Linked DNA regions of Struthio camelus. The protein of the gene in region 2 binds, or shares a complex with, the protein of the main gene of each other region. Links are inferred from orthologs where the notes say so. Each region holds a gene or a part of one and is shown on either strand. Other genes may lie near its edges. The genes, in order: WDR59, SEH1L and NUP37.

The links.
Region 1: the proteins of SEH1L (region 2) and WDR59 are in contact, whole or in part, in a cryo-EM structure (PDB 7UHY), measured with the Homo sapiens proteins. The link is inferred for Struthio camelus from reciprocal best matches to the Homo sapiens genes SEH1L and WDR59. Residues at the interface, in NP_112493.2 of Homo sapiens: Asn308, Tyr309, Met310, Asn312, Lys314; in NP_085058.3 of Homo sapiens: Pro713, Asp714, Glu716, Thr717, Pro718, Arg721, Arg837, Glu840, Gln843, His844, Asn847.
Region 3: SEH1L (region 2) and NUP37 share a complex: the UniProt entries of both Homo sapiens proteins name them as parts of the nup107-160 subcomplex of the nuclear pore complex. The link is inferred for Struthio camelus from reciprocal best matches to the Homo sapiens genes SEH1L and NUP37.

Annotation. Positions count from the first base shown.
Region 1 is NC_090951.1:22,342,395-22,346,141, reverse strand, and holds the start of WDR59 (GATOR2 complex protein WDR59), read right to left. Parts: upstream 2,872-3,747; 5' UTR 2,754-2,871; coding exon 2,690-2,753; intron 2,217-2,689; coding exon 2,134-2,216; intron 1-2,133. UniProt on the Homo sapiens protein: As a component of the GATOR2 complex, functions as an activator of the amino acid-sensing branch of the mTORC1 signaling pathway. The GATOR2 complex indirectly activates mTORC1 through the inhibition of the GATOR1 subcomplex.
Region 2 is NC_090943.1:113,515,975-113,519,721, reverse strand, and holds the start of SEH1L (nucleoporin SEH1), read left to right. Parts: upstream 1-1,409; 5' UTR 1,410-1,480; coding exon 1,481-1,591; intron 1,592-3,747. UniProt on the Homo sapiens protein: Component of the Nup107-160 subcomplex of the nuclear pore complex (NPC). The Nup107-160 subcomplex is required for the assembly of a functional NPC.
Region 3 is NC_090942.1:63,533,162-63,536,908, reverse strand, and holds the start of NUP37 (nucleoporin Nup37), read right to left. Parts: upstream 2,373-3,747; 5' UTR 2,238-2,372; intron 892-2,237; 5' UTR 836-891; coding exon 680-835; intron 1-679. UniProt on the Homo sapiens protein: Component of the Nup107-160 subcomplex of the nuclear pore complex (NPC). The Nup107-160 subcomplex is required for the assembly of a functional NPC.

The DNA.
Region 1 (3,747 bases), on a different chromosome or scaffold from region 2:
CAGGGCCTTCTCATGTGACGTAGAGCTAGTCAGCTGACATATTTCACTCAGCTTTGGCCATCTTTCCCCAAGATAGGAGAAATCTACCAGTCAATTTAAAGTGATTGATAATTGCATATACGGAGTTTATTTCCTGGTGTTGGCACAAGGATATCATAAATCCTTATAAACTGTTTTTCAATAATGAACACTGGTAAACTTTTTTCCAGGCACTGTCCATCATAAAAAGTAATGACTAATTACTGGACAGTAGAAAGCTTTGTGTGTCAGGCTGCTGTTCTGCTGGGTCAGAAATGAAGTCAGTTTATGGCAAGATCTTTCCTCCAATATTACAGCCTCTTATCTAGGCAACAGAAGGAAAAAAAAAAATCAGCATTTAATGTGCTTTGTATACGGATACATGTGTCTTTGCAGCACAACCTTCCAGAAGGTGCGGTTGAAAATCAACCAACCAACCTGAAAACAGTTTTTATCCTAAAACAATAATCAGGATAGCTAGAGTTGCTGTTTATAAGTAACAGCTCTGTGAACGCTAGGAGCACTGCACAGTTAAAACCAACTCTGAGCCTACAGCCCAGGGAGTATCTTCTCAGACTTCAAACGTCTACCTTAGCATTTAATTTGACTTCTGCTAGACAAGTCACAGAAAACACCTTCACCTGAACAGCAACAGATTTGCCAAGGCTACATTGATTTTTAGACTGCAAATTGTTGGTGAGAGAGATCAGCTGTTTGCATAGTATAACTTCTCGCCTGCACGCTGAGTTGCTCTGACGATTTCATAGTCAGATACGGTGAGTTTTACTCTCCGTTTGACAGTATTGACAGCCTGACAAGAGCCTGTGGGTCATATCTAAATTGGAAGAGAGCACAGACTGCTGCCTCTGTCGGTTTCTATAGAAAAAATGTCACTTCTAGACAACATTCGCCCCAAACTACCATAAGGTTTTCTGCTTGGATGGAGTGTTGCAGATTAGGTGCTGTAGTTTTCACACGACACGCTTTCGGCATTGGAAATGAAGGTAACTGCAGTTCCTGCAGACAAGTACAGCCTATAAATGCAACAGCCGGCCACTCTTTGACTCTCTTTGCAGTTATATTAGTTTGGGATAGGGATTTTGGAGGCAGCATGGCCTATAGGTAGAACTCAGGCCTACATGATCACAGCCAAGGCATTTCTCCTTCTGAAGATCAGGTTTCCGCTCTGCAAAAATCTTTCATGCATGCAAACTCCTAAAAAAGCTAAAGCTCAAACATATATAAATGAGATTAGTTTGAAAGCAATAGTCTAGCAGCCCAAGAGACTGAAGCCCTCTGATTTCATTTGAGGGGACAGGCAGGTCAGAGCCATTCTAGAAGGATGACCATTGGAGTAAACTGAAGCAACTGAAATACCTCCCTATTTAAGGCATAAATCAGCACAACAGCTAGACTGACACCAATTGCTGAAGAGGATTTAAACACCTGTTTCTTCCTCTCTTTTCTCCTCTTTGCTCCCACACACAAATCATTATGAATAAGCAATCAAGTGATAAGACCGTGACTTTCCTGAGCCAGATGAGAGCTTAATCTGTGATCCAGGAATAAATACTTCTGTATCTTGTTACTAGTTTCTTGAGAGCAAATCTTTAAAAACAGAGTCATAGTCTCTAGACAAGACAGAAGAATTTCTTTCAGGAGGAAAACAAAACTAATGTAAAGTTTTTCAGACATAAAACCGAAAAGACTTGTTAGTTTACAAATTGTAGGCTGGATTTAACCAACACAGTATTCAATGCGTCTATCAGGAACAGTGAACGTAGACTGGATATTGCTTTAGCATAAGAGGACGAACTACAAGATAAGAGATTCTGCAAACCTGTTTTTTATTTTTCTAGATATCTTACTGAAATAATTCACATACTCTATTCAGCTTTGTGAAACAATTGCCAATATCTTAAAAAAAAAAAAAAAGAAAGAAAGAAAGAAAGAAACACACCCTCTGTTTCTTAGAATAGCTTCTAAGAAAGCACATAAGCAAACTCTTAAGGGAGTTCTACTGTAAACAACTTCAAAAATAAAAGCTGCCCTTTTTGCTATTTAAAAACCTAAACTGCTTTTCCTGCTAACCAAGCTATATTCAATAATTCATACTTGCAGCCATGAAAGTCGCTGTGATGGCCTCAGAGGAAAAATAAGGTAAGATGTGTGGGAAGAAGTAACGTCTTCTATTAGGCCTGCCAATATAGTTGGAAAAAACAGACACATGTTAAAAATCTAATTAAGATTAGAAATAAACTGCCTCGTGAAATAAGATGTTTTCCCCATAAGCCAGACTAAAACACTGCTACTGCTAAAACGCTGCTAACAAAAACAATGAACAGTCACGTTAAAATTTTACTGGCTTTGACTGCAGCTAGGTCACGAGCTTGTAAAGAAGCTCTCTTGCACATCAGGTTTTATACGGTTGGACTAGAGAAGAAAAAACGTACTCCTGCTACCACCTCTTTAACAAAATAGACAGATAACCAGCAACTGCACAAAGCAATAGACTTGGCCTCAATTTGTTACATTCAATTATATGTACTTATCTTTAGGTGTTCAGCATAACAGAGTGCTTAGCAACCACCTGCTCTCAGTTTGAGACACCTCATTTTACTGGCAGCAGCGGTGACGAGTTTCAGAAAAGATCATACCCAAAAGATCACACCTGGAGCTTCGCAGGCCCGGTTGCCTCGGACATTAAGGCGGTTCCCGTCTCTACACGTTTGCATGAGAAATCTAAAGAAACGAGGCCAAGCCACAGGGCACCCATCATGACTGAAGGTTTCGGGGTGCGGGGAACAAAGGGAACAAGAGAGAAAGTTGTCTGGAAATAGATTTTTAAAAAAGGCGAGGGGGAGGCAGCCAAAACGCTGCTCCGGTTTTGGCCCCCCGCACCGAGGGCAGGGCTCTCTGCCAGACGGCGCTGCGCCTAGCTCCCCTCCGCGGCGGAGGGCTGCGCGCGCTTTGCTCCAAACGGGGGTTAAGGCAGCCGCCGCCGCCGCCGCCGCCGCCGCCGCCCCGAGAGCGGCCCCTCGCCGCGCCCGCAGCGGCGCGCACCGCGAAACCGCCCCCGGGGCGGCAACCGCGGCCCGCAACCAGGAGCCGAGCCCCCGCGGGCCGCGGCCCGGCCGCCGCAGGCGCCCAGCGGAGCCCCGCGCCGCCGGCCGGCCGGCCGGCCGCTCGCGGTAGCGGTGCCTGCGGCCGCCGGGGCGGAGCGGCTGCCCTGCGCCCGGCCCCCCCCGGCGGCCACCGCGCACCTGGGCGTCGCGGAACTCCACCACCACATTCTCGCTGCTCCAGCGCGCCGCCATCTTGCGCCGCCCCAGCAACCCCCGACGCCGGCCCCGGCGGGCGGGGTCGGGGGGAGGAGCCGCGGGGGCCGCGCGTGCGCGCGGGGAGGCGCCCGCAGGGGCGGCTGGGAAATGTAGTCCTCGGCGGCCGCAGCGCGACTGCCGTTGCCCGCCGCGGGGCAGTCGGGCCGCCAGCCTGCCCCGGGCAGGCACAGCGGGAGGGGGCCCTGCAGGGACCCAGCCCCCCGGAGGGGCCCTCGGGGAGGGCCCTCAGCAGCCTCAGCGGCTTGTCGTGGGCGCGGGGTGTCAGGGCACGCCGCCCCCGGCCCCGGCCGCGAGGCGGCCAGGCAAGGGGCAGGAGCCGGGGCGGGGGGCTCACACGACGCTCGGGAGTTCGGTGGTGGTGCGCGAAGCGACGCCCTGGGAGAAGGGA
Region 2 (3,747 bases):
AAACTTGGCCCATATTACCTCCTCTTCTCCTAGAAGTAGGTCTCATGTTCTTTTACGCCACAGTACTCTCAGGGCTGACCTGATAGTAATCATTAATAGAGTAAACCATAAAACAAAGAAGTAAATGTACTTTGATAAGTAAGTAAGTCAAAAACTGACGTGTTAAATGTTGCTTGTGCTTTTTGGATTTGCATCGCTGCAGAGAGCTCCAACGTTGGAAGTACGGAAATGTAAAAAGAGAGTAAATTATAGCCCAGCTTAACAATATCTACTAAAGAGAGGGAAATGGCAATAGCCCTGGCTAGAAGAGGGGAGAAAGCGGGAAGCAGCTGCAGCGCTGGTTAGGAGGCAGCAATATAGCTTGAGGACAGTAGTGCGAGAAAGCAGGCGGGGACTTGGGTGAGCAGCTGCGAAGGGTTCCTACGAGATGGTGAAAGCAGCAGGAGAAAGGAGGATGTGGGACAATGGTGGCAGTGACATACAAAAAGGTTCAGAATTACTGTGTCGGATTGCCGTAACCGACTTAACGTGTTTCTGAGATGGCTCCCAAAAAGGCGAAATCTATGACTTACTGCCATCTACTGGAATATAGTATTCACGTCTAATTCACGTTTTACTGATACAACTACATTTAATTGTTTTAAATATTCCTTTACCAAGATGTGAAGTAAGAAATCCTCCCCAAAGCCCATAAAAAAAGAAAAAAAGGTCTCAGATGCAACGTAGGCCTGGAGAAGGCTGTCCAAAGGCAGCAAGGTTGCTGCTTTCTGAGGTGCCAAAACGACGACCGTGATTTCCCGAGAAAGCTCAACCTTGCATCACCTAGAAAGGAACGTTAATATTATGTTTCTTACACGTCTCCTAGTCAGGACTGGTTTCATTCAGTTAGGCCTTATCTGATGCCTACTGCTTTGCTGTCCTCTGTGAGAGATTCACTACTGAGTGTCACTGCGGCTCACGTTGCGCGTGGCTCCACACTGCGACGACACGCAGTGCCCTATTTTCAAAGCACAGAGTTAGCTCCGGCCAGAGCAGCAGCCCTCAACAAAGCAACTCCAAGCTCGGGACAGCTCGTATTCCCCCGCGCCGGCACGGAGGCGCTCGCTGCCTGCTTTGTGGATGCCCACGGACGTGGGGGGCGGGGAGGGAGGGGGGGAAGACCTTCCCCCTGGAGGACGGGTCACCGCCGGGTGGCTGGGGAGGGCAGAGCGGCTCCGCGGTGCGCGGAAAAGGGGGGCGCCCCAGCGCGGCTGCCGCCCGCCCCAGCGCGGCCGCAGGGGGAGGGGAAGGGAGGGGAGGGGCGCGCGCGAAGGGCCGTTCACTCGGCGCCGGAACGCACGTTGGCCGTTGTAGGAGGGGGAGGAGCGAGCGGGCGGGCGCGGAGGGCTCTGGGGGCTGAGCGCGGGCCGGCGGCGGCCGTTGCCCCGCCCCCGGCGCGAGGAGGGCGCGCGCCTGGGCCGGGCCGGGCCGGGCCGCGGAGATGTTCGTGGCGCGCAGCATCGCGGCGGATCACCGCGACCTCATCCACGATGTCTCCTTCGACTTCCACGGGCGGCGCATGGCGACGTGCTCCAGCGACCAGAGCGTCAAAGTGAGCGGGAGCCGCCGGGCCTGGGCGGGGCGGGGAGGAAGAGGAGGCACCGTGGCGCCTGCCCGCGGAGCCCGGCACCGGCGCGGCCTGCAGGGCCCACCGCGCCGCCGGCGGGCACCGGCCGCGGCCGTGCGGAGCCGCCGGGCTCGGGGGCCGGCCGGCCGCCGCTCCGCCCTGCCCGGCGCGGCGCGGCGGGCCTCCAGGCCCGAGGGAGCCCGTCCCTCTCCCCGCTCCGCCTTGTGGCGCCGAGGCCTGGGAGCGAAGCGTCGCTCCAGCCGCCCGGGAGCCGCCGCCCCGGCGGGCGGGCGACCGGCCTTCGGCCTCCCCCGGGGACTGCGGAGGGCAAATGCTGCAGAAAGCCCCAGCTGCCGTTCTTGAGCTAAATGATTGCGCCCCCAGACTTCAACGGCAGGGACTGTAAAGCCACAATGTATTTATACATAATGCTTTTTTTAATATATATATATGCACACACACATATATACACATGCACATGTGTATATAGTATGTATATATGTAAGTATATATATACATATACATGTGCAAACGCACACACAGACACAGGAATACATAATTTTTTTCGACCCCTTGCTACAGCTGGGAAAACCACACAAGCACCTGATTCTCCTTTTTGGATTTGAAACAGGAGCAGTAGTTTTTGTAGTCTGTTGTTTTCGTGTCACGTGGGATGACGGGACTGTGTGCCCCAGTACCCAGAGAGGCTTTTCCTATCGGTATTAATTGGTCTAAATAGATATGTTCTTTTTCCTGACAGCTCTTACTTTTTTTTTTTTTTTAACATCCTTAAACCATTGTGGCTACAGCAGTGCAGTTTTATTTTGTGTCTTCTGAAAAGCTGTATTTATTTGAAGGCACTAAGGGAGGAAGCCGACGTCTCATACCGAAGCGCCGACAATCAACAACTAGCTGAAACGTTCTGTGCGTGCTCACACAGATAAAATGCTAGAAACCTTTATTTCACACTCCTTTAGAGGAACTAAAATCATGATAAATGGAAAGTTAATTGCTTTTTCCATTATATGAGTATAGGGAGAAGAGGTTACGTACTGTTAGATTTAAGGTATTCAGTTTGCAGAGGGCAATAATAGCATTTTTTTTTCTTTTTTAAGTTCTGGAAAATGGCCGATAAAACGTTAGCACTTTTCAGTAAATAGCTGTCTAATTTAGATGAGGCTTAAAAATAAGTAAACAGCCCCTCTTCCCTTCCCCGCACTTCAAAAAAAGCCCACTCAAGCATGTAAGTCAGCCTTTGATCTGGATTAAGTATATAAAACGTAAAGCTTAAAAGAGAATATACTTAAGAAAGGTGCCATAAGGTAGATGAAATTTAGGAACAATATTGTTCAGTGGTATAAAGTTACTTTCCAGTCATACCAGTATCTCTTATAAGAGAGTCTTGAGAAATTTTACTCTAACGAGAATTTTACAACACTGCTTAAATAGCAGTATATCTGTTATTTGGTGTCTGTTTTAGGTCCCCTCTGCCTTAGGTGGGCCCTGCAGAATAGGAATCGGGCAGCAATTTTTGTGGAGTTGGCCTGGTGAACTGATTATAACCAAGGTTGTATTAGAGATCCAGAATGACAAAAGTGAGACAATGTTATTTCAATACGGTTATACAGTGAATGAGTGAGAAACAAGGAGTGGCTGCCAGGTGTCTGGAGTTGTCTTTCCTTGATGAGATTCATGAGTTTCTTCATGATTTCTCTGAAAAAGTTGCAAAGACAAGATTTTTGGGAAGTTGAGAAAAATTATTGACAGGATGGTTATAATTCAGGTCAGACATAGTATGAACCAAATCTGTTAACCTACTGGGATCAGTTTCTCTTTGCTGTCCTACTCTGTCCTTTGTGATTGCCAGAAGCCACCTCGAGGTTTTGGAACTATCTGTGAGCACATGCCATGGTGAGGATCATAGGAGTGCTATGGTAAAATGGAGTAATTTTGGCATGCCCATGGAATGTAAGATCAAAGTGAAGAGATGAGAATTGTAATAATTTGTCTTCTGTAAAAAAAAATAGGAGACCTCATACTGTAGTGGGTTTTGCAGATGTGTGGCTCTTCCTCGGACCTGTATTAAGGATATTTTCAAGGTTGAGTGAAGTGTAGTAGTGTACTGGACCAGAAAGGATTTT
Region 3 (3,747 bases), on a different chromosome or scaffold from region 2:
TAGAGAGATCCAAAAGAAAAAAAAAGGCAAAAAATGGCTGGAAAACAAAAAATACGGTAGGTAATTACTTTCCACAGTCTTTGCTATATTAAGTTTTTCTTTTAAGGAATGTTAATTATAGCTTCAAAATAGTTATAAACTTTGTTGTTTTTCAGACAAGCTGAAAGTCTTAGAAGAGAGTTAAATCTAAATAGCATATATACAGAAAACAATATATGCGTGCAAAAAAAGGAGCTGATTGTGACAAAAAAGAATAGTTTGCACAATGAACAGCAAAACTTAGGCTATACATTTCAAAGCTGTCCACCTAAGTTACTAGGTAGCAATCAGCAACATTTCCAAGAGATGATACAGATGGGATTGCCTACTACTGTTTCATTGCAATCTATTGAAAAAGAACTTTATACCAGCAGAATGATGATCTCACAGTGAGATCACCATTCTCACTGAGATCACAGTGATATATTTAGTTATAACCAACTTGTAGAAAATATATATATACAAAAATATATATTTTCTCAGAGAATAAGTACTCTAGACTCATTAAGTCAATAGACTGCCTGGTAAAATGGAGTGAGGGGAAACAGGAAAGCAGCTTGGGTCTTTGTGCACCAGAGGTGCTGGCAAAGTAAGTTTCAGGAGGCAACTAATAAAAATCTCAGCAATAACACAAACTAACCTGAAATCTGCAAGTCCCAACTACTACGTAATTATTGCCACCATATGCGATTAGCGAACATGCATCTCCACAATCAAATGGATTGAATTTTACCACGTGCACATAATCTTCACAATCCACAGTGTAAGCAGCATTTCTAATAGAATCTTGCTTCATTTTCAAGGGAATAAATCAGGGTATCAACGTCTTCTACAGGATGAAGACCTATATACCTACGTATAAAGTTTGAAAAAGCAATCGTTACACATTTGCATAAAGAAAGATAAAAGTATTTGCGGCATAAATCAAACTTTGCTATAATACCATATTTAAAAAGAACACAAAAGCAGTATTTAAGCTCAGCGTATATAGATTTAATATGTAATTCTATCAATCAAAATATTAACTAGAACGCTTATATACGTTCAAAGCTGTCTCTACTGACTTCAGCAATAATGGCAAATTTTGTGCCATTATGACAATCAGCACTAAGACAAAAAAAGTGCCGGGAGATTAAGGCACTGTACACATCAGAAGAGTCACACATAGAACTGCTCAATTTCCAACAAAGAGACAACAAACGATGCATCACTACCTTCAAATTCTCTTCTCTAGTGTGTCTCTTTAAAAGATAGTATTTGTTTAATTAAAAGCAGAGCTAATCAGGGCCACACAACGTAAATGAGAATACATACAGAACACGAAAATACAGTTTCATGATTTAAGCCAACCCAACTGCTGACAGAGCCTCTGTAGTTCCCCTCTAACAGCAAAACAGCTAACTTTCAACTAGAAAAAAAGTGTGCATGTCCACAACTTACTACTTTACTGTATTCAACCAGTTTTCAAGTAAATTGGGTTCCTGCGCTAATACAGCGGGAGCCGAGATACACAACAGAGAACAGAATCATCCCTTCCAGCCCCAGGACAGATTCTCATTAGTTTAAGCCTTTTGGGAAAACATATCTTTAATTACACACAGCGTGTAGAAATAGCTTTATGTTTGAGAGCCCTGACAGATTTTGCTAAGCTAGCAGTCTGCAGGTCTCAGGATCAAAGACTGAATTTTTTGCTTGGGAACCACCCAGGTTTTCCACGGACATCACCAAGGCACAAAAAAGCTCTCCGTAGTTGCACTCTTTCATTCATTCAGCAATATGACACGCCACCACAGTGATACTGCGGCCAAGTCCTACATACAGCTATGTTTCTTCTGAGGCCAAATTTTAACCCCACCTGTAGCTTTCTGACTTGCAAGATATCTCACCAACGCAGACTGCCAGACCAGTTTAATTAAAAACTTCCTCGAGGTTATTTAGCTTAATTCCTTAAGGAAACACAACTCCGGCAACTGAGCCGTGCGGGTGCCCGGCAGCCCCACTGCAGCCCCCTGCTCCCTCCTCCTCCCCTCGGAGCCCAGCTGCTAACGCCAAGCTAACGTCCCAGCACGCTGCCTCCTCCCGCCCGAGGGCCCGGGCCGCGCCCGCCCCAGCCAGGCGAGCCCCGGCCCCAGCCCCGCTCCTGGGCCGGGAGAGGCCCCGAGCTCCCCCCCCCCCCGGGCCGAGGCCCCTGCACGCACCTCTGCGGCCCCCAAAGCGCCCAACGGCCGCGGCACCGGCGGCAGCGCAACCGCCTCTCCCGCCAACCGTTGGCAGCGCCTCCCACCCCGGTGCCGGCAGCCCTATGCTTCCGGGTCAGCGGTCTCGCGCTCCCTAATTGGGCAGCTGCCGAGGATTTAAATTTAAACCGCCGGGGAGGGCAGTTGCGGTCTCGCGCTTGAGCTGCGCTGGTGGCTTTGTCCTCCTAGTCACGCAGGTATCTTCCCCTAGGAGAGCAGGAGGACTGAGTTGGCTGGGAGAGGGGTGCTAAAGTCTGGGGGAGGGCGTAGGAGCTGCGGTCCTCTTCTAAGCAAAGAGCGGGGTGCCCCGGGGTGGGGGTGCCCCGGCTTCGCGCTGTCCCTGAGGTGCTCGCGGGGGGGCAGCGCGAGGCTGGGAGGTGGTGAGGGGCGCCCTGCGGTGGCCACGGCCGGGGCCCTCAAGCTGGGGGGAGGGATGATGGTGATAGGATAGGACAGGACAGGCCTTAGGGCTTACTTCAGTTTGTTTTGTTTTTTCTTGGCTTGTTTGAGATGTTTCCCTAAGTGTTTGCTCTGAGTGGTTTGGCTTGTTCCTCAGAAACTGCCCACGTTGTGGGGGGGGGAGGGCGGGGGAGGGAGAATGGAGAAGCACCTCAGGAGAGATTATGTCTGCCCCATACTGACTTGCACCTGGTCAACTGTCCTGTCCCCTATGGCCTGCATGACTTGTTCACGTCAGTGTAAGCAGAAATAAAATGAAGCAAGTCATCCCTTGCAAGCAACTTGGAAAATAAACTATTGCAGCTGCTGTTACTGTTTTGCTTGTTATGAGAAGTCTCCTGTATTCCTCACCTCTCTCCTGTGCTTGTTTGTTCTTCATGGTTATGCCTGTTTAAAAAAAAATGCTGTGGGTTGTGTGTGTGAATGAGGTGAAATATAATAAGGGGAAAGGTTAGTTTTGTGTTCTATAAGTGGATGACCTAGTTCTTGCTAGGTACTACATGCAATGTTGAGCCCTGTGTTTCAGGGAAGAATAGGTTTAAAGAAAGCAAGATGAGAGTCTCAGGTACCTTTTCTTTAAAAAAAAAAAAAAAAAAAAAGGAGGGGGGCAAGAGGCTGAGGAAGAGCAAAGCACAAAGTAGTCAAATTCAAAACTGATACTGAACTCATTCCTAAAGGAAATAGGAGAGATCAAGAAAAAAAAAAACCCAAATTATTTAGTATTTGGAAATATCTTTTTGTAGTGATTTTTGGAACATCTATTAAATCTCACATTTCTAGGCTTAAAGCACGTCCATAGAGACTGGTCTGAAAGTATAGTGGATGCAGATAGTACAGAAAGCAGATTATCTCCAGGGAGGTTTGTATTTTTCCCTGGGGCATTTTGACTGACTGGTTTCAGAGGCGAGACTGTCTTGTGTGTGATAACTTTTACTCTGTTATGTTAGTGTGATGTAAAAGGAGAACATGGGGTGTTTATGAAGACATGTCGTATATAAGCACTTTTTCCCTG